2 linked regions of the Astyanax mexicanus genome follow. The protein of the gene in region 1 purifies or fractionates together with the protein of each later gene. This does not show direct contact. Links are inferred from orthologs where the notes say so. Each region holds a gene or a part of one and is shown on either strand. Other genes may lie near its edges.

What was found.
Region 2: the proteins of map3k2 (region 1) and traf7 purify together in Homo sapiens (affinity purification with mass spectrometry; 3 studies listed by BioGRID and IntAct, with this or other methods). This does not show direct contact. The link is inferred for Astyanax mexicanus from reciprocal best matches to the Homo sapiens genes MAP3K2 and TRAF7.

Annotation. Positions count from the first base shown.
Region 1 is NC_064412.1:37,838,557-37,854,514, forward strand, and holds the start of map3k2 (mitogen-activated protein kinase kinase kinase 2), read right to left. Parts: upstream 7,879-15,958; 5' UTR 7,445-7,878; intron 6,283-7,444; 5' UTR 6,213-6,282; coding exon 6,209-6,212; intron 6,107-6,208; coding exon 5,988-6,106; intron 3,663-5,987; coding exon 3,622-3,662; intron 1,870-3,621; coding exon 1,770-1,869; intron 1,162-1,769; coding exon 1,048-1,161; intron 438-1,047; coding exon 356-437; intron 1-355. Other genes in the region: cytochrome P450 27C1, read right to left, coding at 12,970-13,086, 13,739-13,942, 14,101-14,179, 14,489-14,652, 15,653-15,816. UniProt on the Homo sapiens protein: Component of a protein kinase signal transduction cascade. Regulates the JNK and ERK5 pathways by phosphorylating and activating MAP2K5 and MAP2K7. Plays a role in caveolae kiss-and-run dynamics.
Region 2 is NC_064426.1:13,726,850-13,741,967, reverse strand, and holds the start of traf7 (E3 ubiquitin-protein ligase TRAF7), read right to left. Parts: upstream 7,793-15,118; 5' UTR 7,652-7,792; intron 4,435-7,651; 5' UTR 4,398-4,434; coding exon 4,263-4,397; intron 4,157-4,262; coding exon 4,099-4,156; intron 3,809-4,098; coding exon 3,717-3,808; intron 2,710-3,716; coding exon 2,593-2,709; intron 1,999-2,592; coding exon 1,906-1,998; intron 1,327-1,905; coding exon 1,293-1,326; intron 925-1,292; coding exon 741-924; intron 153-740; coding exon 18-152; intron 1-17. UniProt on the Homo sapiens protein: E3 ubiquitin and SUMO-protein ligase that plays a role in different biological processes such as innate immunity, inflammation or apoptosis. Potentiates MAP3K3-mediated activation of JUN/AP1 and DDIT3 transcriptional regulators.

The sequences.
Region 1 (15,958 bases):
ACAACATAACTTGTCCCCCAATTCCATTTCTTTGAAAATTACGTGATTGGCACAGATTTCCAATCATGCGATCGGATCGGGGACATCCCTACTTTTGAGATAATAAATTTAGTTTAGTTTCACATTATGTTTAAGTCACGTCTTATTCTTCAAACCTACTGGTTGGTTGCAAAACAAAAAGCAATTTATTGCCTGTTGTCTGATTAGTTCATGTAAACATTTTGATCTTATTACAAACTGACATTCTGCTGTAATTCAACTGTGAAGTTAAGAGCATTTAGACCCGCTCAACTTCTCCACTAAACTGAGATCTTCAGACACTTTACTACTAAAGTTACCCTTCCCAGGTACTGACCTATAATGGCTAACATGTTGTTACTGTCTGTGTTGTCCAGATTGTCACGAGTAGGCAGAAGATCCATGCTGGAGACTGAGTTCTGACAGAAAAAAAGAAGCAGATGTGAGTTCAACATAGAGATCATACTGTGATGAATTTTCTTATTGTACCTACAATACACTTTTTTAAAGCAGACCAAGGACACCATTATAACACTGACCCAACTGTATTTTTTTTTTAAAGAGTGTAACTGGTCCATTTTAACTAGATGAAGAACAGGACAATCTAAATAAAAATGTATTTTAGTACCAAAAAAAAAAAAAAAACACACACTGACTACTTAATTGTGTTCTCCAGTGAGCACACGTGCAGTGCATCATAATGAGTAAACATCTAAAGCTCAGTATTCTGAAGTAGATTGAGAATCCTCAAATTGTACTTTTCGTCTCTTTTAAATGGAAAGGTATGGAAGGTCAGTAGGTCAGTGGTTGGAATCTCTTCCTGAGTCTATGGCCATGGAAAAATTAACATATGTGTGAATTAGATACGTGTTGTAACTTTGCATTACGTTATGTGTTTGAATGATATGTTTGGTTAAAAATGCATCAATAAAAAAAAATATTCAAAAAAAGAAAAAAATGAACTTTTCGACAGGTTAGATGATTTTACAAGCATTCAAAAACAAGCTTTAGCCCACAGTTCAGACTGACCTGGGAAGAAGCTGGCAACACCAGCAGAATTTTCAGACTCTTCATGTGGACAGAACGATCCAGCAGCTCCACGGCTTTATCCAGATCATCCTGAGTGCTCAGAGGAATCACCAGCTACAGAGACAAAAGCGAAAATAAAAATGGTCTGTGATTTAAATGTGCTTACATCTTACAATAAACTTCTGATTAAATTAAAATATGTTATTCAGCATTTTTTGTAGTGAACTGATTATAAACGCTGTTTTAAATGTGTTTATTCTTTGTTTTTGTTTTTTACTGTTTAGAAGAGAAGTGGACAGGTTGGTTGGTTTTTGGGGTCTTATTGCCACTTCAGCATAAAATATATTTTACATCAAATATAAATATATTTGGCTACATATTTATTAAATTAGGTGTTTGAGGTTAAGATGCGATACGAACTTTAAGATCTTTCCGGGTGGGTTTTTTTTTCCCAAAGAGGTCTTTTATGTTCTTTTCTTGGTAGTAAGATTGTCTCATAAGGTTATAGTCAGGACAGTCGATGCGGATGTGTTTCATCGTTAGCGGGATGTTGCACGGTTGACAAGATGGTATTTCATCATTCGTTATTAAGTGTCTATGTGTTAGATTTAGTGACCTATGCGGCACCTTGCGTAGCTCGTCTAATTTGATCTTGAGTTGTGCTTGTAGATTGTCCGTTTTAACAATGGCTGAGAACTGGACAAACGTTCTAATTTCGGTACCTCATTATTGGTGTAGTGCAGGTCCATGGCCTGCCCAAACGCCACTTTAGCTTTGGTGCTGAGATCATCTAGCCTGAGGGGCCGAGGAAACTGCAGAATCCTAAAGAAGCAAAATGACATTGAATTAGAAAATATATACAAAACACATATATTGAATAACACCTAATTCATTTACACAACATACACATTTGTTAAAAAGGAAAAGAAAATTAATTAAAATAAAATAATAAATAAATTAGGGATGAACTGAATAAATAGGAACCAAAATGTTTAGCCAGATCAGCAAAAAAAAAAAAAAAAAAGCATATACAATTGCAGTGTTTAGTCTAATGTTAGGCTTTCTTGCAGTAGCAGCAGCACTTTACTGTTTCAAAGACAAAAGACAACAGGGCCATCTGGAGGCTAAAGGTTAAAAGACCATTAGATTATATTTTCTTTAGTAAATCATAACATTATCAGGATGTTTCAGCAGATTTTAAGAAAAAATGTTGAATTTAAGCACTAGCAGCTCTCGACAGCGGAGCTTCATATGTGATAGCTTCATACGGTTCATATGTGAACTGTGTGGTACATCACAGTAATCTGTGTGGATTTTAGCCTCCGCCCCCCACACTTCCCACTAGGGGTATACCATATCATATCATACGCAATAATATCGCCAACAATTTTGAATATTGTGAACAGTATTATACCCTGAAATATTGTACCATATCATCGACCCCTAATTATCACATTAAGAGTACTACTTTTTGCTGTTTTTAGCAAAATAACACTGTAAGAACACTGTTCTCATTTCCCATTATATATCTACTAGAGACAGATTATATCTGTCCAGTATAATTTATTTTACTTTAATCCTGGATATATGGAGATATATGGAGTGCATTATTAGTATCATGACATTCTAGACCATTGACTTTTGTCAAAAATCTGATAAAATTCTTCTTCCAATATCTCAATTAGGGGTGTGCAGTATGTATGCAATAACAATATATATATTTTTATTTAGTTGCAGTAATGTATTCTTGAAATCAGTTCAGTGTTTTTTTATATTGCCAAGAGTATCGTTTTCGCCAAAATACCATGAAATATCGTGATCGTATCCCACCCCTACTTCCCACAGTCCCATTTCCACACCTTAAGCTGCCTGGTATAGAACAACAGCATGCAAACAATGTGCTGCAGTCATGGAAATAGGGGAATTGTCTATTTTTCTCCTAAACAGCTAATCACCGAGCTTCAGTAAGGTTTGCCAACCAAGCTAACAGAGTCATATAAAATCAGTTAGTTCATAATGTGCAATCAATAAAAACATTGAAGTGTAATATATATATATATATATATATATATATTCACGAAGAGGTAGAACACGTCATCGCTTGCCAGTGTGTGTCAATCTGGGAAACACCATAAGCTTCGTGTCTGGTGAGGGCTGGGTGCGCAAAAAGCTCTCTCCAGTGTTTTGAAATTGGACTGCTGTAGCCATTTCACAAGCTTGTTCTCATTTAATACATTAGTAGACTGTTCCTTTAAACAAAGGAAATTCAGTCTGTCATGAACTTAGATGCTGCTGTGTCTGCATCCATTGTTTTATATTAAAAGTCCTCTGCAGGGGTTTGTGATTGCATGGGCCACCACTAAAGAATACGTTCTAAATGTTTCATTTTGTACAGTTAGAGGCGAAAACAATCATATCAGTGCATTACAGGAAATAATAATTTTCCAGCATTTCAGGAATGTCTCTCCAGGCTTCAAAAACTTTATGAATTCATTGCATGTCCCGCAGTCAGATTCCTTTCTATTACAAATTAATCTAAGTAACAGTCATGCTTTTAAAAGTTGAAACCATTACCTCTTCTCTCCCCTGTACTCGAACTTTACTCGAACATCGTTCTGCAAGAAAGAAAGTGAGATTAACACGGTCCAAAACTTAGCATTACATCAACTGATGATTGTCACTGTGGACCCTAAATGACAATATTGTTTAAAGGCATGGAAACAAAAGCTTTATTCTGATACTTCTATACCTGTCTTTAATCATTTTTCCTAAACTAAATAGGAAACACATTCAATCATATGAAAAGCTGAAAGATTTCAAAGAAAAACTCAAAATGACCTGACCTGCATGTTTCATTGTTGCACAGTTACAGTTCATTTTTCATAATTAAAGAATAAAATTAACCAAAAAAAATTAAATAATTAAAATTAACCAAAAAAAGCACATACTATACAGCACATACAAGTTTTGCAGTGCCTTGCCGTAAAATTAACTAGATCTCTTATTTCTTTGATATTCCTTTAATAAAATCCATATTTTCTGTGTTTCAGCCCATTTGTGAAGCATAATTATATGAATGAATCTGAAACTTTTCTCCAGAAGTATGTTAGTGGCTCTCCAATGATGGCAATTATGTTTGGAAAATGACAACCATACAGAAAGAGCCAATAGTTTTTTTGAATGTCAGATAATGAACAGAAATGGTGTACGTAAAATGCACAGAAAAAAAATCTGTATTTGGCTGTATATATAAACACACATTTCCTGCCTGTATCTGAACAACCACAACAGTTGGGAAATCATTTGAGGCCAGGTTCCTAAAAACAACATACATCCTCCTATTATACATTAATCCTCGGATAACTGCAAAAAAAGTTTTAGGAGGTCATCGTGAAGCTTATTATTATACCTTTCAGAAGCAGAGATTAAATAAACAAATAACTAAACTTATAAGTTTTCTAACACTTCAGCGCACTGCATCAGCACTGTGTAAAATTGTTGCTTTTCGATACTGAATTTAATGGCTTTTAAATTTCCAAACAACCAATCTACAAGCAAAAGCCCTAGTTAAAGCTGGCAAAATTGTAAAATGTAACTTGACTTTTCACCACAACTTTTCCTGTTCTAACATCTGCAAAAACTAACGTGACACAAAAAAAAGCAAACGATGATCCGCATTATGCTAAAAGCTAACACTAGCCAACGCAATAGCCTTTTACCATCTCTTCCAGTTACCTGTGTCCACTCGCTCATAAACAGACAAGATGTCCTCAGCTAAACCAAGTAAAGGTACATTTCAGCTTATTATTTACTGGTAAAAACAAAAAGCCAACAGCACCACTAGCCCGCAAAACAAAATAAATAATTACAGTGTTGTTGTTACTGTGTAAAAACTATGCTACACTACAGAAGATCTGTAAGCTTTCACAATGCCACAAACCAGTAGTAAAATCTGTGTTATTTTTGTTTTTAAAGCCACCTGTAACCATCAGCTTTTAATTCTGATGTTAAATACCAGGGTGGTAAATAAGCTGGTAAGACCAAATCTGAACATTATGCACCCCAATAAAGTCACATGATTACCATCTGTACATGAAAAAAAAATTAGCCTAGACATGTGTTTAGACATTCAGCATTTCTAATGTAGCAACATAATTGTAACATCTGTATTATGTCGATGTCCTGCAGTCTTATACCCAGAATCTATATAGAAGTACAATGTACAATAGGGCTGGGCAATATATTGTCAATATCAATACACTTAAAATAATTTCCCACAAGCAATTTATTTCCAATTAAAATCTTACATGGGTGGTGTCTGGTGAAATCGAATAGTTTCAGGAGAAATGACAGACAATGAGCGGACATCATTATCCCATAAAACTGAGTAACAACAGCATTGTCATTATTTCTGTGCTAAAAATATACTACACTACAGAAGATTTGTGGGCCATCACAATGCCATAAACCAGCCAATAAAAGCTTTTTTTGCAAATGGCTCTGTTATTATTGATAGTCTGATGTAAAATAATAGGGTGGAAAACAAGCTGGTAGGACCACATCTAAACATTATGCACCCAGCCAAAGCCGCAGGCTTACCATTTGTGCATAAAAAAAACCACCTACAAATACTCTATGTGCATTTTCCAGCATTTTTACTACCAATAAATGTTTGTCCAATCATCCAGTGCAGTCTTCTAAATAAGTGAAATACTGAGATAAATATTTAGATATTTACTATTTAAATACATCATACATTTTATTTATGGTGTTACAAATAAATGTGGATACTTTAACATTTCACTTTTAGATTTCATCATATCATATCTCGTCATTTCCCTGCAACATGTTGAGATAAGAGTTTTTTTAGTCATATCGCCCAACCCTTATTTACAAGTTTACATGAGTCAATGTTGGAGGATCAGACTAAGATATCAGACCTGGTTCTTGGGAGACGAAGCCTTGGGTTTGCCCAGGTCAGACAGAGACATGGCTGGCCGGCTAGAGCGATGCAGCTCAACCAAGTCCTGCATGATCGAGTTTAGAACCTCTTGCTCGTCTGTCAGGACATATGGGTTTAAAACAGGTTTAAAACATGGACCATGTATAAGAATTTATAAAACCTTTGTACATCTTTTATCAGGAGACATAGGTTACATACCCATGATAACTGCTCACAGTCGGCCCCAGGAGTTCAGGATAGAGGATATCTCCCATTAAATGGGTTCCTTTCTCCTGTACATAGATATCACAACTATTTTGAGTGGGTGTCATTCATGTAGGCATTTCCTTTACATACAAACAACAATTGACAAAATACCATCTAACATCATAATCGTAATAATAAAATAATACTGTTACACAAACTGCATTTAAAAGTACAATAGTAAAGTAAATCACACATCGATCTCAGATATCATCACATTGGGGGGAAACTGGTGCTACTGGCGGGTCTGTCAGCTGTCAAAATCTGCTCTACCAATGATAGCTGGCTAGCTAGCTAGCTAACCTAGCAAGCTTGTTAGCTAGCTATAGTTTACTGTTTCAACATACAACAAACACAGTGTGTGTAGGCAGTGTGTGCGCTCACATAGCTAACCACTTATCTTCATTAGATAACGAGGCCACAAGATTCCTGATAACAATGGAAATAGTGTTTTACAAGCGGTCAAAATGGGGCTTATCAAAAAACATCTTCAGCAGTTGGAGGATGATGATGAAGAGAGCTAGCTAGCACGTCCGCTTTGCTTATAAGCTAACTAGCTAAACATTACTGCGGGTGAAAAACCAGCTGTTTTGGATATTTGTCTTTAACATAATAAAGACTGAAGCATTTTACATAGTATTTAATGGGACATATGCACACGACAATACAGGGGCCAACATGACATTATCTCGTTATTAGATAGGTTAGCTAAGTTAGCTAGCTAACAACAAGATTAGCTCGCTACACTGAAGGCGCGCTAGCCATACTGTCTATCTAGCTAGCTAGCTAATTAGCTGTTAGTTAGCTTAGTTAGCTAGACAGTCTGCTAGGTACCTTCCAAACTATTTAATTAGATAATAGAGCTGGCTAACCTTGTACGTTATAGTTATATTAAGACCAAGGAGAGACAGCTAACTAACTATCCAATTTGTGCAAATATAGCTAGCTAGGTTAGCTAACTATCTCACATTTAGAGCTAGAATGCCAGCACACAAACCTTCGTTCACTTCGCTGCTATTTTATATATGCTAACTTTTAGCTACTTGGCTAGCTAGCTAACATAAGCAGTGTCTGACAGGAGAATTTATTGCTAATAGACATCGACTGACAGCTAAAAGCCTTCAGAATCTAATAACTAGGATAAATAATCAATAACAGCAGAAAATAAGAGCTATTTGTCCTATTTCTCACCTGGGTGGTTCGTGTATCTTCACTTCCTCATCCGAAGGCCTTGGGAAGTGGGGGCCCTGCCCGACTTTAAGAACCTCCAAACCCGGCTTAAGAAGTTGTAAAGTCCGCATACAACTGCAACTTCAGTCCGAGGCCCCAGAGCACTAGCTCAGCTCCGCTAACCGCCGCCACTGCCGCCGCTGTCGATGCGCTACAGGCCGAGCGATTAATCACCGAACTCGCTTCACATTCAGGCCAAAAGCGTCGTATCCGCGAGGCCGTGCCGCAAATACAGACACACAGATAACCGTTTAACGGCGTGGTTTTGTTCATATGTAGAAACCGCAGGTATCAAACACGGCTCGACTGAAGACTAATCCCGGAGCGCCGCTCTCTCCCCCCCGCGCCGAGCCGCCGATGGACCAGTCCGATCCGCTACACACGATCAGCCTGTCAGAGAGACCTGCACTCTGTCTACAGTACGGAGACCACAGCAGGACACGGGGCTCAGAGTATGTATTTATTTACTGGGTCTGGAAGGCTACTGTTTTAATGCGATTTAATATTTAAAAAATGGAATAATCGAGATTGTACATCTTGACTTAGAACCTACTAGAGGGAATCTCAGAATATAGACAAGTTCTTCTGTCAGAAACCTGTAAACACCTCTTTTAAGTGGCAGTGATTTTCATATTTTTCATATTTTTCCACAAAAAAAAAAAAAAAAAAAACTAAATTAAATGTAAAAGAAAACAATAGCTTTACTTTAAATTATGCTGTCTGTTTCCAAATAAAAAACTGAAGGTGACCACATGGTCGAATCCTGATTATGTAACTTGCCATCAGCTGCCAGAGCAGGGTAGATGGGTGATGTTGATCAGCACAAGGCATCTGTGAGCTGATGTATCAGAACCGTGTTGCTGCGCTTTCCTCCGAGAACGCTGACGACTCTGCTTTGCTACATCAGCAGCAGTATGAAAAGATGCAGTGATTAGCTTCACATGTATCGGAGGAGGCATGTGCTAGCCTTCACCCTCCTGGTGTTGTGGCATGACTGTGATTGGGGATATACAGCTGACTAGCAGCTGAATAGGGGAAATGACTGGCCTATCTAAAATTGGGAGAACAATGGGAGAAAAGACTCAGCTTTTCAAAATAGGTTTTAAATGTGAATAAAAGAATCAGTATTAGAAACACTTAGATTTTTAATATTGATGCCAGTCACTTAAAAATAATTGTATTATTCACAACAGTATTATCCATGATTAACAATGGCTGAATCATGGATAAAATCATGATTTAATTTTTTAAAATGCTGGTACTTAATTGTATTTTTTGGACAAAAATAACTGTGTAATGTGGTTTACACCTGATAGACTAGATTTATTTTACTGGATTATAATATCTCAGGGTAGTTGTGGTGCTTTTTAAACAAAATTAATGTATTGAGTTTAAATGAGCGTTTTTGTGGAGGAAATAAATGCTAGATTAGCTGCATATTCCACACTCACCAGCTTGAAAAGAGGAAACGTGCCATCAGCTGTGTGTGTGTGACCACAGTAGTGTGTGAGAAATAGAGAGAGAGATAGAGAGTATCAACATCAGCACAAATAAAAGGGTAATCTACCTTCTGAACTCAACAGAAAGCTTTGCTGTGTTATATCTCTAAATAAAACTGCTAGTGCGTCATCAGGCTCTATCACATTTTGTCACAAGATTAATTATATGCTTTAAAAAAAAGTACGCATTACAGTTTCCAGACTAACTGTGTTTTAAGTGTGTTAATGCCAGACATCCCAAGTTGCAAAAGTTGATTTCAGGGAGGTTACCCTACTACCTTCAAAAAAAAACTTCACTTTTATATTAATTAATTTTTTTTATTTTATTTTATTAAATTTAGAGTATTCAGAGGTGAAATTAGTTTTATCTTTTTTTCTTTTTGGAAGGCCCTGCCTCTACTTTCCTTTTTTTTTTTTTTTTTTTGAAAAAAGGCCTTTATTTGACAAAAATGTACAGTTACAATATCACAAAAAATTGCACAACATCAAAAACATTTCATATCATATTACAACAATTATTAATATTGCCTCTGCCATGATCTGCTTTCTCTCACTCTCTGAACAAATCCCGTCCGGGAGGGGGGAAAAACACTGCCCGCCCACACTCAAACCTGATTGGCTGTCTCACAGACTCTTTGCAGAGAACAGGCCAATCAGAATCCTCTCTGTCTTCTTTCTGTCCTTCCCACACGCGATTAGAGAAAAAAAGTCTGTCGCCTGTGTGCGCGTTTGCGTGCAGTGCGCGTTTGGGGCACTCGTTCTGAATTGCGGGAGATTATATGTGACTCGCGGGCATCAGGGAGCCACTACCGAAATGCGGGAGACTCCCGCAGCTTTAGGGAGACTTGGTTTGTCTGTAATGCTGACAGCCCTAATTTATAAACATATTTTTTAATGTAAATAAATGGGTGGATGACTAGTAAAAATTCAAAATTCAAGCAAATAATCAAACTTAATAAATAATAAAATAAATAATCTAAATAAATAAATAAATAGATTAGAAAATAAGGTAGAATGCATTAACCCTGTAAAAAGTGCTTAACTCCAGTATACAGTCAAGGGTGTCTTGCTTGGTCAAAATGTACAGTATTAAAATAAATATGGCTGAATCTAAATGATTATTTGTATTAAATTCAAATTTAAAGTACATTTTCAATGTTTAGATGGGAAGAGAGGGTCATTGTGGGTTTCGTTGAAATTGGTGACTAGTGAACCTAAATAAATACAAAATAAATGCATAAAAATGCTATATATAAGAATGTTGTCCTTTTTGGACAAGCATGCTTGTTAGCCTGATCATTTTCATGATTTCCCTTTAATCATTAGTTGTTTAGATCAGCGATTTTTGTTAAATATATTAAATATCATAGCAGACGAACACAGTGATATTTCAAAAGTGAAATGAATTTTATAGGATTTAGAATAAGTGTGCAATAATTCTTTTTGCAAAATTAGGCAGGTGCATAAATTTGGGCACCCTTGTTGTTTTATTGATTTGAATACCTTTAACACTAATTATTGGAACACAAAAATTGTTTGGTAAGCTCATTGACTCTTGACCTAAATACACAAGTGAATCCAATTATAAGAAAGGTTTAAGGGGCTAATTGCAAGCTTTTCTCCTCTTTGCATCTTCTCTGAAGTGCGGCAATATGGGAGCCTCAAAACAAAACTCTCAAATGACCTGAAAACAAAGATGGTTCAACATCAGGGTTTAGGGGAAAGATTTTAGGTGTCAGTTCTAGTTATGAATCGAAGTGACAGACCAAGAAAATTCTGAGATGAGCAGAGGCGAAGGATGGTGAGAACAGTCAGTCAACCCACAGACATCCAGAGCTCCAAAAACCTACTTCATCATCTTTCTGCAGATGCTGTCACTGTGCATTGTTCAACTATTCAGTGCACTTTGCAGAAGGAGAGGTTGTATGGGAGAGAAATGCAGAAGAAGCTTTTCCTGAGCATGCACCACAAAGTTGGAGTTATTTGGCTGTGTAGTCAGTGCAGGTACTGTGAATCTTGTTAAAGTTGAGGGTCGCATTGATTCCAGTCAATATTAGCAGATTCTTGAAAACAATGTTCAAGAATCAATGACGAAGTTGAAGCTCAAAATCTACTAAAGCATTCACTTTCTCTATTTGCAAACCGTCTGTCTTACCATGGACACATGAACATCAAGGCTTTTAGAGATACTTCTGTAACCCTTTCCAGCTTCATACAAGTCAATAATTATACAACGTAGGTCTTCTGAGAGCTCTTTTGTGCTGAGAGGCATGATTCAAATCAAGCAATGCTTCTTAAGAACAGTAAACTCAAAACTGGTGTGTGCGTTTTTATTGGGCAGGGCAGCTTTAACCAACACATCCAATCTCATCACATTCACATCTGGCTCCAATTAGCTCTTAGAAAAGTCATTAGCCTAGGGGTTCACATACTTTTCCCCATCACTGTAAATGTTAACATGTTGTGTTCAGTAAAAATATGCAAACTTACATTTTTTGTGTGCTATTAGTTTAAGCAGACTGTGTTTGTCTGTTGTTGTAACTTAGATGAAGATCAGAACCCCTTTAATGACCAATTTATGCAGAAATCAAAGTAATTCCAAAGAGTTTACATGTTTTACTTGCAACTGTATAAGAGTGTTTAGTGTTTGAGATATGAGTGTATGACATTTTATTTAAACACAATGAAATAAAGAAATAAAAAGGCTGTAGAACTTGAAGCCATGTTAGAAACAGTCACCTTTATTATATTTTGTTTGTATAACAAAACTAAACTGTACTGCATGAATGAATAAAGAACAATGTAACACTATTAGCATGGATTTGTGTCACTTCAGTCAATGAATTTGATATAAAAACACTTTGAACATGATCAAATCAAAGCAATCCAGACTGTTCTCATACAGAGTTCCCCAATGGTGGAACAAACTACCTTCCACTACCAGATCAGGAGAATCTCTCACTATCTTTAAGAGACTCCTGAAGACAGAGCTCTTCAAATAGCACTTACTCTCTTAACACCTCTAACACACTAACTACTTCTAACCTCATTTCCTTCTTCCCCTCCTTCACTCCTCTATCCTATTATTCCCCTTTGACCTCCTTTTATCCCTATCCAAAGATGTTTTACCTTTAAACTCTTTTTACATTGTACTTGACTATTGTAAGTCGCTTTGGACAAAAGCGTCTGCCAAATGTAATGTAATGTAATGTAATGTAATGTAAAAATATATTTCAACAATACAATTAGGCACTAATTACACATTCAGTACTTCATGAGAAGTAAAAAACAATTAGTAAAGTTCAGTTAATCTGCAGACTTTTCTAAAGTAAAAAAGCAATATATCTTAGTATGTAATACAGACTTATTTATTTATAAAAGTGGTAGTGTTACATCACAACTATGCACAGTAGTACAAAACATCTTTTAAATCACATGAAAATGATAAATGAAAAAGTTGAAAATCACATTAGATATTTTAGATTCTCAAGAGCATTTTTTTTCAATATTGGTCCCTTGTAGACCCCACTCCAAACCCCTCTTTCCAATGCTTTACTAACACTGCTTGTAAAATCAAAAGGACAGTATATGCCATTTTTACATATATAGGTGAATTTGCATTAGTCATCAAAAATAGTATTTTCTTGAAATATTACGCTTGGGGAAAAACAATATAAAATGTAACATTTTAAACATAATTAATTCAACAATTGTAAGTATCATAAGGCTTTGTCCATCAGGCAGATTTAAGCCATTTAACTCACCACTCAGACTCAAAAGTGAGCCCCCCAAAAAAAGGCAACAAGAAAAAGGCACAGAGGCACAGTCCAAACTAGATCATACCCACATTAGTGGCTTGATCAGCGATAAGAAAATTGGTTTGGGAAGATTATTTTTAACTGGACATGAAAAGTGCAATCTAACATTCTCAATGCTTTAATACAAACACTACATTAAAATACATATGTACACATTCAAGGCAGGGGTCTACACACGGTCAACAAACTTGAGGTTGATTGATGATCCAGGACACAGCAGGCCATGGGTTTTGGCTCGGACATCACCGGTGAGTGGAGACACCTCGATGCGAAACTTCTGAAGGAGCTGCAAATAACAAAGGGGAGGAGTTAGTGACCACAAATACCTTAAACACATTTTATAGGTGTATGGAAAAGTGCAGTCTGCTTTACTAAGCTGTAAAATCAGACAGAGGCTGCTCTATAAAGCTTTAAAAGGGGCTGTTTTTAAATACATTTCATCCTGCAGCGGTGAGATTGTGCTGATTCAGGCTAGGTTTGTATGATTTTTTTGTTGTTGTAATTGAAAGCATCACAGGAAAGGGTTTGAATGTATGATTATGTGATTATGTGCTCTGAGTTATAAAACTAGCTCCTGTGTGTTTTTTCTTCTACAGGATCCAACCAATTTAACAACACATATGCTGGGATTAAAATGTTTTACATTCCATATAACTAGTTCTGAAACAATTTATATGCAATTTGTGTTACATCATAATTTTAACCTTAAAATATTTAGTCATGTGCTCAATCATGTTGGTTTTAATTAATCTTAGTGAGATAATTTAAATTCATTTGTAACTTTTTCAGCCAAAATTTTTTTAACTGTAGTCTGTTGCATAGTTGATTTAATCTCTGCTATGGTATAAAAGTCACAGTATTGGATTACCAAACAAAAAAAAAAAAACAAGCAGGTTCTGTCTCTGTGTTCAAACACACTCACACACACACACACTCACCTGGGTAAGACTCAAGTGCATCTCAAGTTCTGCTATTCTTCTGCCAACGCAGCTCCGGATGCCGTAGCCGAACGGGATGGAGCCGAAGTTGTCCACCCGATCCAAAGCGTCTTTCCGGAGCCAGCGGTCTGGACGGAATTCTTCTGCACTGGGGAAGTTTTCCTCATCCATAGAGGTGGAGTAATGACAAAGAGCCAATTGTGTCTGAGAGAGTAACAAAGAACAGAGCAGTGTTACAGTAGATCTTCACTCTGCAGCTAAAATCAATCAGCATTCGCCTTTTACTCCAGACTCCTGATCTGGCACATCAAAGCATTCTGAGACAAACTTATAGAAAAAAGACACACAGTGTCTAATCTTACCCCTTTAGGGATAAAGTAACCACCCACGATGAGGTCATCCTGTGTGACACGGCCATTGCCAGGAAGAACAGGGAAAAGCCTGCAGGTAAAGACAGAGAGTTATTTTATTAAAATGTTAAAATATAGAGAGCAATTACATCCAACAAACCCAGCCCACTATACATTAAATACACATTAATATACTATACATTGCAGGGAAGGGTTTTTTTGTGGACTCATAACCTAGGAGGCTTTAAAAAAAAGAAAATAAAGAAAAAAAAAAGGAAGGAAGCTAAATGCCATGTATTATTTATCTACAGCAACAAATTACTACTGTGTTTACACCGCTGCTGTAAATACAAAATCATGTTATGAGCACCCCCTCATGGACAGCTGAACACATGCATACCTAAGGGTTTCTTTGACCAGTCCTCTTATGAGTGGCAGCTGAGAAATATCATCAGCATGTGGGACCCGCCCACCCAGCACCTGGGTGATTTCCTCATAGATCTCCTGTTGCACTGTGGGATGTTTGGCCAGCAGGTATGTTGCCCATGATAACGTGAAGGAGGTCTGAAAAAAGGAGTAAACAAAAGATGGTTAATCTAAAAATGCTTTGATATACATATTAACTTAATCAAAATTAGTCAAAATCAAAATCAGTATACAGCTCTGTAAAAAAAAAAAAAAAAAAAAAAAAAAAAAAAGAGACCACTTGAAAATAAAAAATGATGAGTTTCATCAAACCAAGCTGAACTGCTTGAATTTGTGCCCCAGGAGTGGCATAAAGTTATTCAAAAACAGTGTGGACTGTTGGAGGAGCACATGCCAAGATGCATGAAAACTGTGATTAAAAAAACAAAAAAACGATTTCTCAACTTTTCTTTGCATTATTTGAGGTCCTAAAGCTCTGCACCTTTTTTTATTTCAGCCATTTCTCATTTTCTGTAAATAAATGCTCTAAATTACTATATTTTTATTTGGAATTTGGGAGAAATGTTGTTCGTAGTTTATAGAATAAAACAACAATGTTCATTTTACTTAAACATATACCTATAAACAGCTAAACCTTCAGAAGCTGAAGAGGTCTCTTAATTTTAACCAGAGCTGTACAAAACTAACTACATCAGGTGTGCAAACAGCCCAACAATTCAATTTAGCTTTATACCTTAAAACAAAAGTTGTGCCCTGACTAATAATATTATTAATGTTTTGGACTCAATCTTTATGAGGTAGTCCGAATTAAATCTCCTAATTTTTCTTAAGAGATACAATAGGGTAAAAAAAAAAAAGGACAGAAAGCTCTCCGTGGGGAGTTGAATGTTTCGGCCCCTTGCTGTGATTTGACCACTTGGGAAGAGTTCACAAGAAGTTCAAATAAGAAGGCTCTCCCCTTCTAACAAAGTCTCATTCACCCTCCTTCACTGCTGGAGAGCAAGAAGGTTTTGCACAAGCCTAAGAAGCCTGTAGCTGTTCAGTCTGTAGAAAAAGTGCTAGTTCGGAGTGTACAACTTCTTCAAACATTCTTACAAATTTTATTTTGTTGTTTTGTAGGATTTAATAACATCCTTACCGTGTCCACACCAGCCAGCAGCATTTCAGTCATGTTGGCATAGATCTCTTCCAAGTTCATCTCTTTGGTAACCAACAAGTGTGTGAGCAGCCCACCTTTCACCTCCTCACCCTGCTCAACCTTCTTTTTGATATCGGACAACCTTTTGTCCACATGGATCTGGCCTAAGAAAGAAAACAAATATATTGACTATTCAGTTGGCAAGATGAAATTCTCAGATGCACTCTTATGTAACTAATAGTAAGTTTAATGGAAAACAAATAACAATAGCCAAAAATATTGGACAACTATAATTATATATAGTTT
Region 2 (15,118 bases), on another chromosome or scaffold:
GTTTTTCTCTCACATACCCGTATTTAGAATGAGGGCATTTGATGTGTTCACACTCCTTCAGATGAGCCTCCAGGTTCATGGTGAGCAGCGGAGGGCAGTTGGGGTTGTTTGGGCAACGAACTGGACGGTAATCACAGCTCCCCTCATGATCCCTGTACAAACACACACACACACAAAAACACATACACACACAAATGTTAGAGTTAGACCCTGAGCCCAGGCCTCCAGCACTGAAGTGACTGTAAGAGAGAGGAAAAGGCATGTTTCACTGCAGAAACAAGTAGAACCAGAGGAAGCTCAACTCAAGAACTACCCTCTAGTTAATATAGGTAATAAGATTTTAGTAATGACTGACAATCAGAGTAAGACTGCTTTGCTGAACTACAGTAGACTGATTACATTGAAACAGCCTGTTAACCAGTAATAAATAACATAATAAGAAAAGCGATTAATGTCAGCACAGATAGACCTTATACACTATTATCCTCAAAACTTCCCTTTTTGTGAGTTTTTTTGACTTTCAGCCCGCAGCACAACGCGTACAGTGATCGCGCACACTGTGCTGAGGTGAAAGTGGTTCCAGTTCTCCCAGCATTCAGCTCTATGGAGAAGTTTGTGGTCCTGGACTAAAGAAGGTCACACCATTTTATAAACCACATCCATTTACTAAACTAGCGATGATCTGGAGATTGACGAGAAATGGGTTCAAGAGACAAAGAGGAGCATAATCATGTTCTCACTTTCTGGTGCTGAGTTTGATGGTGAAGGGACAGCCCAGTGGATCGACCTCGAAAGCTCCTGGTTTGCCCGAGGCTGAGGGCCGGCAGCCATATTTGCAGTGGACAAACAGCTCTCCGATCTGCTCAGCCACAGCGATGTTATTCACCACCACGGTCAGCTTTGAGTTGTCCACTGGGCATTTCTCTGCACACACACACAAATACACAGTCAGGCTGACCTGCACTTACCTGTGGAAAGTGACTGGTGGATATCAGACCCGCTAGTGCAGCAAACAGACTCTGATCACAACAATGTGCAATAATGCAAATACTAATATTCTGAAGTAACATTTTTATTGTCTCGCTGTTAGCTGTCCCCCTTTACAACACAGATAGCACAGGGTAGATAGTAGAGAGGACTGGAAATGACTAAACTGGGGGGACAAACTCTAACAGGAAGTAGTGAGGCCCTGATGTTTCCCCTTCACTGACGACTAACACTGAAATGAGGAAGGGAAGGTTGAAGTGGTTCAAGTGGACTGCTGAGGTTGGAGAGGTCAGAAATGTTCCTACCTGAGGTTAAAGCACATCGCCTGCAGAAGGTGTGCTGTAGGAACATAAACAAAGAGACTGATTTTAACATGGGTTATAATTAAGAATCCTGCTCATAATCACAATAACCAGCTCATTACAGGATTAATTAAATCCTGAATCAGACATTATAGATATTAGTGTTTTTTTTTTTTAATAAACTCACCAACACAAATATCAAATCTTGGTTTTTGGTAATTTAAATGAACAAACCTTATCACACTGACTGAAAAAAGCTATATTTTTGATTTATACAAGCAGCAGAAAACTGCTTTAAATAAACACCAAATACACTTTCTTAAATAACTTAATAGATAAAAATAAATGATGCGTGGAAATACTGCTCTTTCTCCAGTAGAGCACTGGTAAATCTAAAATTACCAGTGTATTTGTTTCTTTTTTATTTGTTGTATTTCTAGTCAATTGTCAAAATTTATTTACATACAAAGTTTACATTAATTTATTTACATAAATAAATGTTATTAAAATAATTTCCGAGCTGCAGTCGTCACTGACACAGCCACAGGAAACGGGTCAAAACTGACAGGAAATCAATATGTGGGCTGTATCCAGAATTTAAGGGTGGAATGCTCACCCCACAGGTGGTGATGACAGGGTCCTTGAAAACACTGCAGCACAGCTGGCAGCACAGCTTAACTGATGGCTGTTCTGCAAACACCTGTGGCTCCTGAGAGGGGGATGGAAAGAATGAGTGGGAGTAAAAAAAAAAATACATTTGTTTTTTGCCATGGACAGCTGATTTTGACGTTTTGTAAAAGGCTCAATTAACCTTATGTAGAGACAGAGGACAGCTGTGTGTGCTGGCGATCTGGCTGGAGGGTCCTTAAGCAGGGGTGGGTTTAGCAGCGTGTGACTAACTGCACATTAAATGCATTTTATATAAATGGTGGAGCCTAGTTCCCAACTTTACTTTTCTTACAGTCTCAAATCTTCATTCAAAACGCTGTATACTCAGTGAGGTTTCACTAGACTAAATCTCTGTCTGGAAAATTGCGCCTTAAATTTTGAAAAGCACACTTTTTCTCTTTGTAGTCTGCTGTCCATATATAGAAAATTAACTGTAAAAGCAACATGCAATGAACTGCTACAGAAATTGATGACAACAGAAATTATGAGCTATTCTGATCATACAATAGGACAGATGGGTGGAACATCAGATACTAATACTGAGTCAGTTTACCCCATGTGTATTGTATCATGTGGTGTTGCAGATGTAGACTTTTTGCTAACTTAGCGTATTTTAGGTGAGGGTGTTACTGACCGTGTCTTCCTCTTCCTCATGCAGAGAGAAAGTGGAGCGCAGTGACATGTTGGACTCCGAGTGAAGAGAGCGAACAGAGATGGCTGAGTCTGACCGGCGTGGTGTACTGATAGGGGGCTGCACGCACGCACACACAAACACACAAAATCAGGATGTTTAGCTGTAAAAACAATAATTCCTGAATTCCTCTGTTCACATAATTATTAAAAAATATGTCCTCAGCCAGGAAGCAGTAAGATCTGGACACTGCAGCTGGCTGGATAGAAGAGGACAGCCTGCTGGTCTCTCAGGTAGAGCCAGACCTCAGCAGTAATCAGAGAACGATAAAAACAGAAAAGCAATTCATCAGCAGAACTAACGAATGCCCACTGCACTGCAGCATATGGACTGAACATGCTTTTTCACCTGTTCTGCTGAACACACAGTGTGAGCAGAGCAGAGCAATGTACTGTATACTGTATATCTGTATCAGTGTCAGGCTACAGAACTCACTATCAAATTCAGATTATTGACCGATAAAGAAACAATTTATTGCCCAGATCATAATCTGTCATTGTTCCATTACAAACCACACAGAAATCTGCAATAGTCCAGAACATAGAACCTTCTTCTTGTATTTACTTTTTTATTAATTTACTTTAAAATTTACATTTAGGAAATTGTCTCTAAATGGCCAACTGCATCCAGAGACCTGATATTTTCAAGTTCCTCCTGAACTGCACCTGAAATCTAAAATTACAAGCTTTACGCTAAATGTTTTGAGCAGTATTTGACTGCACTCAGCCACAAAAAACCTCAGTGCTGGTATGTAATTTTGATCAGGTTTGAAAATAAAGTACATACAAAAATCATCCAAAAGTACTTCAGCACTTTAAAACATCTTAAAAGGAATCACTCCAACTCACACCACAGATGTTAAGTGTCTGTTGTTTTGTAAGGATATCTTATACATTTAGACATTTAAACTGACTCTGTATGTTAAATTTTATAACCAGTGTTGATTCATCACCAAAAACTCTTCAAAGCATAGTCTTTGGCTTCATCTGGTTCTGGTAAACAGGCACGCTGTTAAAGTAATAGGCAGTGTTAAGAAGTGGACTCCAGCAGAGCTGGACTGTGATTACCATGCCATCATCGTCGTCCCGTGGAGAGTAGGTCAGGGTGCTGGAGGACGAAGGGGTCCTGCGGTGCTGTTTGTAATTACCGGTCGTCTCGGCTGAAATTTCACAACATGGTTATTACAATGGATCAATCTCACTGCACAGCCCGAGGGCGTTCAGGCTGATCAATGGTAGAACTGGGTCAATCTCCACTACTGTTTTATAAGTTCAAGTTATCTACATGCAACAATTTCTAATATGTTGCTGTTGATGTAAAGATAATCAATCACCTAAATAAGCTATAACAAGCTGAGCCAGTGTTTCATTTTTACAATGCAGACCTAGCAGATCATCTGTTTCCATATTCACAGAAATATAAATACAGTGCCAAGCAGCTTGTGTTTACCTTTGCTGACTGGAGCGACTGCAGAAAACGTGGGTCCAAAAGTAGATTCCATTCTGGTCTGCATGAAGCATCACAAACAGTCAGACATTGGTGTGATTAAAATAACTTATGGTCTTACTTAATAATACGCTTTTTTTTTTCTAAAAAGTACCATAAATTCACACCTCCACTGTATTCGTTACTGACGTGAACAGCGCTGTGTTTCTCACCCAGTTACTGACATCAGATAAACTACTAACAGTGGCATCAATGGGCAATCCTCCTGAAAAACGGTTGTAGCACGCTTTACCGGAGTTCATAATCCATCAAAGCCATGTAGAGTAGGGCCTTCACAGCCTGCAAACAGAATACAGCATTAAACACTGTAAAGATACTCCCACCTCATACAGTCAGATACACTCACTTTTCACATTATTTAATTTTTTAATACTGTAAAGTGCTAAATTAATTGGTACCGTGCATGGTGGCTGAGCATTGCTAATTGGCTACTTTGATGCGACATCACCACATTTCTAATTGGGTGTTGCTAAGCCATCTCACTGTCCCAGATTACACTTATAGGCCTGCTAGGTGGTTGTGATGGTCTCATACATGGTTAATAGTAGTGCTGTGCAATAAAATGATAATGATAATTATTGCAAAATAACTTTCCCTTAATAGTAATGTAATAAAACTTCGGGGGGAAAAAAAAGTCAATAAAACTTTGTCATGACTCGTTCCGGGGACGTTTCAGACAGACAATGGAAACAGCTAATGAGAATAGGATTAGCGCCACGCTGAACCAATCATGTAGCTTGAATAGAGTTTGTGAGTGAGATAGTAAGTGAGTGAGATAGTAAGTGAGTGAGTGAGATAGTGAGTGCTCTGTGCTCATGCTCTGTGTGTGTGTGTGTATGGTGGTGAGAGTGCCAACAGCAATCATTGTAAGTTCTAGCAATATAGCTACATTAAACGCCTTTCTTGGCCATTCTTTTAACGCGTTCTGCCGGATGCTTAAATATGATGCTAATAAGCATTTATTTATTTGGAACTGACCAGAATTTCAACAAAACAGAATTTAGTTTACAGTTAGTTTACTTCGTTATTCTGTAACATTTGACCTTTTGAATATACAGGATTTAAGTTTTATATTTTTATTTATATTCTCTTACTTATGGGTAAAAATAACATTTAAGTGTGACAGAAAGTGATTTGATTTATATCATGATAAATATCCATATCCACTGACATGGAAAACTATATCCTGATAAGATCTTCTTTTTTTTTCTCCATATCGCCATGGTTGATAGGATGTTGCTACGTGAGTACTATCTTTGATAGAGTTGTGGTGGTGCCTTTGGTATAACACAGTTCATTGCTTATATCTTGGACAGGTTAGATGAGAAATCTATGCAAAAAAAATGATTGGAGTAAATAATAAATTAATGTGCAGACCTAACAGTCTACAGCCACTGAGAGATGTGGTAATGCTCGACTGTACAGATTTAGGTAACAGATTTGGGTGAAGTGCAAATATAAGATGGATTAGAGCGACTGTGACTCAGCTGGCTGAGGTTCAGGAGGCCAGACAGAGCAGTAGTTTCCAGTAATCAAACACTAAACAACACGCTTCAAACAGCTCATCCTAAGGTGCGGTGTTGCCAGCACTACTCAAACCAGAATGAAGGAAACCACAGAAATAATTATATAACACAAGGAACTAATCAGTTTCTCACAAACAACACACCCGAAAAAAGTGAGAATTATTTAATCCTGAAGGTGTAAATTGAGTGTAACATATCCTGCTATACACAGTATGTAAACACTTTATTTAATATATGTATATTTAACATAATGCTGCAAAACAACCTGATTTTAATACACAAGTTTACAAGCCTATCTATTAAGTCTACAGCACTTTAGCCAGACCAATTCCTGCTAACATTATTAAGACAGTTTTAGCCTGAGCTCATTTTCACAGAGCATAAACAAGAACAGGACTCTTTTAGTCTGCCTAATTCTAAGGCATAAAAGATGCTGAAATAAATAAATAAACAAATAAATAATTTTATGAGGGGAAAAACAAAGAAAATTTCTGAACATGAGATCTCCACACACATATCAGCATTACCCAGAAAAATACCCTTTATATTTAAATGATTCAATGAAAACAATGTGACTAAAATCCTTCGGAGTGGGTTTGGTGTAAAACACTCCCTTCTAGAGAAACTTACCCAGTCATAACTGTTTGCAGTGGCAGGTAATGGAACCAAGCCTCTAAACCTCTAAAAGCTCCCTCCTAGATTGTTATTAAATGAATAACATTGCCTGATACATGAGATCTTGGTCTAATACATGTCTTTAATATTGTATATTTATTTATATTGTTATAACATTATTATAGTGAAAACAAAAGCAGTCCCTTGCATTTTACTGAAGAAAATATTTTCCCACATTTAACAATCATCAACATCCATATAAAACTCAGAAGACAAGTGTAGTTTCACTGGTGGGTTTGAAAAGTAGACAAAACTGCTATATTTGTGTGGTAGCCCTGGTGAAGCCTGGTTCCACGTTTCACCACTGTAAAAAAATCCACTAACATTATAGGTCAGGAGGCCTAATTTCACTCCAAACCCCACTCTGACTGTGACACTGGTGAAATTCCTTTCAGATGGATTTGTGAAGCGTTTTTCCAAATCAGGGAAAAAAGCACCTCAGCAAATCATGAAGGAACCTATTGAAACTACATGATACACATTTGCAATAACACCTTAAAGTACATCCAATTGAACCAGCTATCAATTATGTTTCTTCCTGATTTATAATGGAAAATAAATATAGTTAAAGTGTGTTTCTATCAGCTGGAAGGTCGCAATGAAACCACCTTTATTACACATACATTAGCTATAGACATCTAATTTAGCTACTGAAGTAAACCTGAATTATCCAAAAAAGTCATACAGAGAGGGCTGTAAGAGCATAAACACAACACATCTGAACACCACTCAGCTAACGTAGCTACAATTCAGGCTAAAGTTTCTCATTGTCAAACAAAAAGTCAACCTTTTATAAGTAACGTTACCTAAAGAAAATAACAGTCTGGCGCTTTATATGAAAGAGACGGACTGTCGGTCTCCAGTCTCAATTTTAATAATCCGGGTTAAAACAACCCAAAACTAAGATCAGAATATAAATCTATTTTCTGCGTTAGCACTGGCTAAGCTAAGCTACGCGATTCCAACTGTCAGATATGCGTAAATATTCTTCCAGTCAAACCGACAGCAGCGTGAAAAGATCGACTACAAGCACAACTTATAAACTAAACCCACCCCGTAATCTGTTTTTGCTGTTTTTGTATAAACGTGTGTTTTTGCTACAGCTCGCCACTAACTAGGCTAAGCTAACAGCAGCTCGTGAGAGGCTTCTTTCCAAACGCGGGGGAACTTTTCGCCATCACTCCGTTCTCTCACACATTTGCGCATTAAAACGACGTTTACTCTAACATTCTTCCGTTTTTATCTTCTATACAAGTATTTACCACTACATTTACCACAAAACTAAAGATTCTCACCTGTAAGCGAACTCTGCGGAGAAATTCTTCATTTTCTCTAACGTTTTCGCAACCACGCGCGAAGGATTCTGGGAAATGTAGTAAGTAAGCTGTGTAACCGTATAAGGTGTTGCAGATGCGAGCAGAAAATGGAATACAACTCCCACAGTTCAACATCGCGCTATGTTTCTAAATATGCAAGACTGAATAGTCCGAGGTTGCGTTTCTTAAGGTGAAATAAATATTATGTAGTATGTAGTATGTAGATATTTAAAATGTATCATTTGAATAAGTGAACGAAAATATTGTCATCTTGTATCAACAATTTTATTATTAACTGCATTTCTGTCCTTTGAACAGATGAATCTGTGAAAGAAATTGTGTTTTTTTTTGTATTAAATGTGTTGTTTAGTGGAATAAGTTAAACATCCCTGTTAAATGTGTTTTCATACATTTTGTGGAGGTCCAGTCGGAGGAGGGCGCTGTTCGATCAAAGCATACGTGTTCTTTTCTCGTTTAATTACTGGAGAGTTTGTTTATGGTTATGTTATATAACTTACTGTATGTAAATAAAAAATGATTAAGTCTGTTTTTTAACGAAATATGTACATGCCGGCTAAAAAAATAAAAAATATGGAATTTGCCAGGCCCTCCTTGCAGCAAAGCAGCAGCAAACAATGATGTTTCCACTTCCATGCAAAGACTTGGTCTTTGGTTCTTGTGCTTAAATGCTGTGCTAGGTTTGCACCTATCGTGCCTTATGTTAATATGCCAATGTGTTATTTTTTTGGGCAGCAAAGTTTCTCACATGACTTTTTGGCTTATTTCTGATAGTAGATGCTGCCCTTTAACACTGACTTAGGTGAGAGCTATCTGTGGGTCTTGTGATTAAATGTTTGGTTTCTTTGAGATTTTTTTTTACGCAACTTGGGGGGTCTGTTCTTGAGCAGCTCGGATGCCATGCCCTGGCCATTTTATTAGCAATTTTACCTGGAAATGATTTAGGGGATAGTGGAAAGAGTGATTTTTAATTGTTTTGAGATCTTTGTAAATATACTGCCAGATTCATCTGCATCTAAAACTTTCTTTCTTAAGGCCTCAGAGGGCTGTTCGGATGTGACTATGGTTAAACTGCTCACCTCAACCGAAATATTGCCCTCTCTGATCATGGTCTGATCATCTGCAGCTAATGTGCTGCATTTTAATCTAATTTTAGTAGTAATAAATGTAAGATGTCCTATCAAATGATCTTAAAGACAAGACAAAGCATACAAGTCTTAGTAATGCCAAAAGAATCAGTGATGTCATCATGTGATGTCTAGCGTTTGGGAGAAACCAGATGTACCCGTTGCTCTCATGCTGCTCTGAACTTTTGGGTTTTGGGGTCAGTATGTGGGAGTGATGGTGGTGGTCCTTCTTGGGGGATCTGGTCTAGAATTTCCCCTCGGGGATCAATAAAGTATCTATCTATCTATGTATCTACAATACATATACACAACACTTATTTATCCAATTCTTGAGTATGCTAGGTCAATCTGAAGTGGACAAATAACTTAAATAAAATGGAAAGGGTACAAAAATGTTGCTGCAGGATTATCAGCTTCCAATCACTATCTCTTCCACTGTTAAGCAAAAAGTGTGATAAAGCTACCCTGTGCACCCTCAAGAACGTACTTGCAGATAGCTCATTTCCTCCGCATGGCTTCTTGCCTACAGCACCTATTTCCACTTTCTCACTTTGTTTCCATCAAGGAGAAGTGCCCATGAGTCTTTCGGTATTCTGTATCACTGTACTAATAAACAATATACATTTTTATTATACATTTTTCATTTTAAAATGCCAGATAATTTTGGGTCATGAAGTTCTTGACACATACTCAGTTGAAGATAATGTTTATATTCTTTATCATTTTTATTGGTACAAAAACATGAGTGCACAAAGACTTTCACTGAATGTTCTACCTCAAAATAAGGTACAGCACCGCAACAAGCTTTGTACTCTTTTAAGTACAAATCTGTATTTAATTTGTCTTAGTGTGTTGGACAAATGTGTCAGATCTCACTCTTTATAAATTGTTATAAATTATACCGATACTGACAGGTCTAAATGTTTAAATATGTTCAAAGAAACAAAGGCTCTGCTATACTAAGACTGACACTGTAAATTAATGATACACACTGCATTAGGAAAACCAGAGGCCTGATCTGTTATTGTGTGTGCAGATTGTATTCAGCGCTTAAATATCTTTTTAAAAGAACCAGTTTAACATTTATTTGAAGCTCATGACAAATGCAGGATTAATGCTACTCTTACATGCTGCAGAAATTAAGCATCACATGACTCTGCATTAATTAAACACTCCTGCTGAGATGTGGGTCAGAACTGAGAGCTACTGGGAGAGCCAATCCAATCTCCTTCACATGGTTTCTGTAGTGTTACAACAAGCGTGAATGTGTGAGAGCAGGAGATGCTCATGCTGGAGGGGGAACAGCTTTAATGGATGGGGACTGGAGAATGTTTGCTGCTGGGGTGGAGTCTTTGAAGGGTCCAACATTTCTGTGACTTATAAAGCCAGAAGAATCTGAACAATGGAACACGTCAACTGTCTGCCTTTGCTCAGTGGTTCCCAGAATGGGATCTGGTGATCGCTTGGAGGTATAGAAATATATATAAGGCTGGAAATGAATGCTTCACCTGCTTAACACAGAAGGCAGAAAGCCTTTAGCTGATCTAATTGAGTACTTCCACTGAATAGGAGCATGATTTTTATTCCTGTTCACGACACTGCAGCACTCAAGTTGCCCTTAAGTGCTTTTACCCCTCAGCTCTTGAAGCGTCTAATGGAACAAACGTACGTCAAATCCTGCACATAAGACACAGGGTAAGGCTGTCAGCTGTATTCAGTGCATTCTGGCTTCTGAAGGACAAAAAAAAGAAAAACTGCAGCCTCAATACGTAAAAGTAGAAATGCAGTTCAATCTATGTTGAGTCCATGTGACATAATACACAATACAACTACTGTTTATGTTTATAAGTAAATAATCTTAGAATATTTACACATTAAAATTAGAAAAGAAAGATAATTTCACAATTCTCGGCAGGCATGTCAATACAACCCAATCCTGGCTAATCCTGTGCCAGCCCACATCCAGGCTCACAAAGAGGCCACATCCAGGCCCAATCCTAGGTACCAAAGACATCAATTCCAGGCCACATTAAAAAACAATCCCAAGCCATATTTAGGCACAATGCCTTTTCTAATCCTAGGTCTTATAGAGGCCTTGTCCAAACCCTCGCCCCATCCTTGCACAATTATGTGCAATCCACACCTAACCCTGGACCACATACATATAGTTTTCACATCCCAATCTCAGTTGGTGACAGACTAAACCCAGTGTTTGTTAGCAGCATTCTTAGCATCTTAGCATCCTCTGTTATACTATATCAAGATATCAAATGTGATTTGGCTTTAGACCTTCTACTGACTCTCTCTAAATAGATATTTTAAGAAAACTGTCTGAAATATCCATATAGTTTTTTAGGGACAATTTTCTTAAATTTAAACAGCCCTACTATATTAATGATAATACTAATTATGTTATTAACTATTTTCAAATACCTGTACTATAAAATATGATTATATATCATAAAACAGTGTTAACCACAAAAGCTTTGTGCTTAGGCACCTGTCTGGCATTTTTGTTTCAATTCAGCTACAGTCTCAATGGAAAGAGATGGCGCTGACACACATGTTTAGCTGTGTGTCTGTCTCATCTCACACCTCCTAATGCAACTGTGTGAGGTGTGATAGTGGAGGAGGTTTGGCTGGGAGCCCAAACAGACACACGACAGATGTCCACTTTATCATCTAATGGCCTAACTTCACATTCTCTCTCCATAATGGACCTCCACTATATCATAACCAACACATCATACATTACCAGAGCTACATATGACTTAATGACAGGGTATTTTTAGCGTTTTTAGTGCCCAGTCTGCTAAGCCTTCAGATAAAAAGAGCTGAGGATAGGCCTTCTTAAAGACAACCATACTGGATGTGACCCCTTTGAGTTGCTAAAGATTGTAGAAGTAGTAATACTCCAGTCCAATAATAGTCAGCAAAATACAAACAAACAGCAATGCAGAGAACATACATGTATAAATATACATGTATAATTTTATACTCATATGACTCAAAATAGTGTTTTTCTGTTGTGTTTGCTCTGCTCTTGTTCTAAAAAGTCTCGCAGTTTGTGGCAAAGACTGTGTTTAAACCTCTCCAAACAGCACACAGTGTCATACTGAAGAGGAATTTGTCCATATTAGGGCATAAATAGTGGGTAAAAGACCTGCTGATGCAAAAAAAAATTCAGTGGCCTTAGTTCTTATAGAGATTCTAAACTTGGCAAATACTGAAGAGAAAAAAAATCTTGCTACTAACTTTCCACCCGTTTTATGGCACTCCCCTCCTCCTGTGCGGATTGGCTAGCAGGTTGTCTTCCCTGATAGGCAGACGGCTTCCGAATATAAGGTAGTAGCCAATCCCAGCGCGGGGACGGGATAACACCACCCAATCGTAGTCGTGCGGAGGCGGGATGTTCATAAAATCGGGTGGGAAAGCGAGTAACAGTGCGGTCAGTTACATGAGACCCACTTTATATCGTCCTTTTGTCGAAAGCATTAGATATAAAAGTGTGTGGACCTCATAACCCTCCCGAGAGCTTCTCCGCGCCTCACTTCCTCTCACTCTAACTCGCTTTAACAGCTCGCTGTCGCTTTCCGCGGCCACTTTCCCCAGCCTCTTTCGTCCATTCAGCATCGCTTCAACTTTTAGCTTAGCATCATTTTCCCCATTTTTTTGCCGCCACTGCAGCAGCGGTTGGCCGTTAGCGCTTCCCTCCCCTCAGAACCAGCAGAGAATAGATCCGTATCCACACCGTTTATCACTATATTTACTGTTCTTATCAACTGACTGAAGGACCCCAGTGCTGCAGCAGACTGGTATATATGTGCAGTTGGGGACTTGGATTTACACATATCGCCAAATAAGGAACCGGGAAGAGCATCTCCTCATCAGCTGAAGGTAAGAGAGACAGCACCAGACACCACCATATAGACACAATATCACACACCAAAATACACCTAAACAGGCAATATAACCACAATATATACTGCATCAGACACACATATAACGTACATACAGACAGTTTGTGACTTGGATTTTTTTCTGTTTCAAAAACAGTTCCAAAAATCTATTTTTACCTCCCCCGTCAGCCTCGAAATGATGCTGTTATATAAAACTGCCGTTTACCTCAGCCGACCCCCCATTTTTTTGATCGATGGGATCATTGATTAATAGCTAGCGACAGGTAACGTTAGTTAACGCTAGGTTAGCTAAGCCAGCTAGGCTTCGTTTCTGCTTTAGTTTACTAGGTTACACAAAATGCAGCAGCGCAGGGTGTTTCACACACGCACACACACACACACACACACACACACACAGGTCAGGCTGGTTCGCCCTGCATCACGCGAGACAAAACGGTGAAAGTTCTCAATAGCTAAATGTATTATATCAAATTATCTTCACGACTTTATCCTTATAAATACTTCTTAACACTTAAATCTGCACTGAGTTCAGTTTAGTGACAGGTCTGAAGCAGTTCATGCTTATTAGCCAGCATAACCTATCCTAACCGTCCTAATTACATGCTGGAAATATATTTTTTCCAGGTTAGTTAGCGTTAACATGTACTCATAAATCATGCTAAATTGTGTGAATTTATTATCGTGCACATAATCACACACTGTAATTTACCACGTTCACAGGCCAAATAGAGATTCTTATAAACCCAGTTCATTTACCAAATGTGTACATTACCAAAACTCTTTAGAAATAAATTAGGGTTCCTGTCCATAAGCTAACTTACCTTTATTTGGTAAAGAACCTTATTTTAGGTTCTTAGAACTTTAAAAGAGGCTCTGTACATTTACATATATTTTACAGCTAAGGAAGCACTCACTAAAATACTGGTTCCTTATGGTAGGTAAAACCTAATGAAATAATGCTTAACACATTTATCAGTGACCAGTAGTGACCATCTACCACATGGACTTATTTATGTGCACACAGGCATGACTTAAGACTATTCTCATTCAACACCCTAAAAAGCCAAAAAAAACCCCAAAAAGGTTTATTCAAACACATCAGTACTGACCTACATGAATGCACCGACCTATATGTACGATTTTAGGTTTATTCTTGTCCAGCAGCACCTTAAACTTAAACCACATCTTAGCTTTTCAGTGGCCTACAGAAAATACACTACACTTCCAAAAGTATCCAGATGAAATGGAACCATGCGTCACAGTCTATGACAATAACACAAGTGTAGACATTTTAATTGCTAGCCAAACCTACCTAAGTGTCTCTTCTAAGTTTGTATTTGGACAGTGTAAACAAATGAATTTTCTTTTGGAGGCTAGTTTTGCTGCGCACCCTGCATGTATCCCTTCACCACTCCTACAAATACATTTTAGGCCCAAAATCTTCTAAAAACTACTAAAACTGTGTTTTGAGTGTAATCACTTATTGTATAACTTTCCTAGAGGAAGCGTATTGTTTTACACCAAACTGGGTTTGTTTCTGTTTAAACTGCATAGAATTAAGGAAAAATGCTGTAATTCGAATTGTTGCTCTTATTGCTCTCACATATAGACAAACTGACCAGTAGAAAAGGGCTGCTCTTAAGCAGCTGTGAGCACATGGCTGTAAGGTCAGTGTGCCCAGTGCCATTTGTGAGCTGGTTAAAAAAGCAGTAAGAGCTTTAAAATAGTGGAATTGTATTCTCTGAAGTGATACAGCTCCGTCCAGAGCTCCATCCTCATCTTTAAGAAAAGCGACAGAGAGTGTCAGGACTCATCATCAAACCTCATTACCTGATCCTGACCTCACTGATGCTCTCACTCTTGTGAGGCTGATTGCAATCAAATTCTCTCCACAGCAAAATCTTCATAGAACTGTAGAGGCTTTTGCTGCAGTAAAAAGGGGACAACCCCCCTAATAATACCTTTGGTTCCAAGAGGAAACCTGGAGGAAGATGTTTGACCATATTGATGTGCATTCTGTTTTTTAGTGATTGGATCTTATTTGGATTTGAATTTTGACCGGTGTAAACCCCCCAAGACACATTTTAAACAGTATATGATCAAATCACTCACAGCGCATATAGGTTGTCAGAGAGGGATCTCATCCACATTTGATAAAATGTGTTAAAATAATGTGAATTCTATTATTAGATTTCATCATGCAGGTGGAAATCCATCTGCTAAAAATATTAATGTAAGTAATTATTACTGTGGATCCTGGCTTCTTTCTTCTTCTTCGCTGTGTGTGTGTGTGTGTGTGTGTATTAATGTATGTTTTTGTGTATGCTCAATAGTGCATATTTACTGGTAGATGAGAACAGTAATTTGTTCCCTTGCAGTCA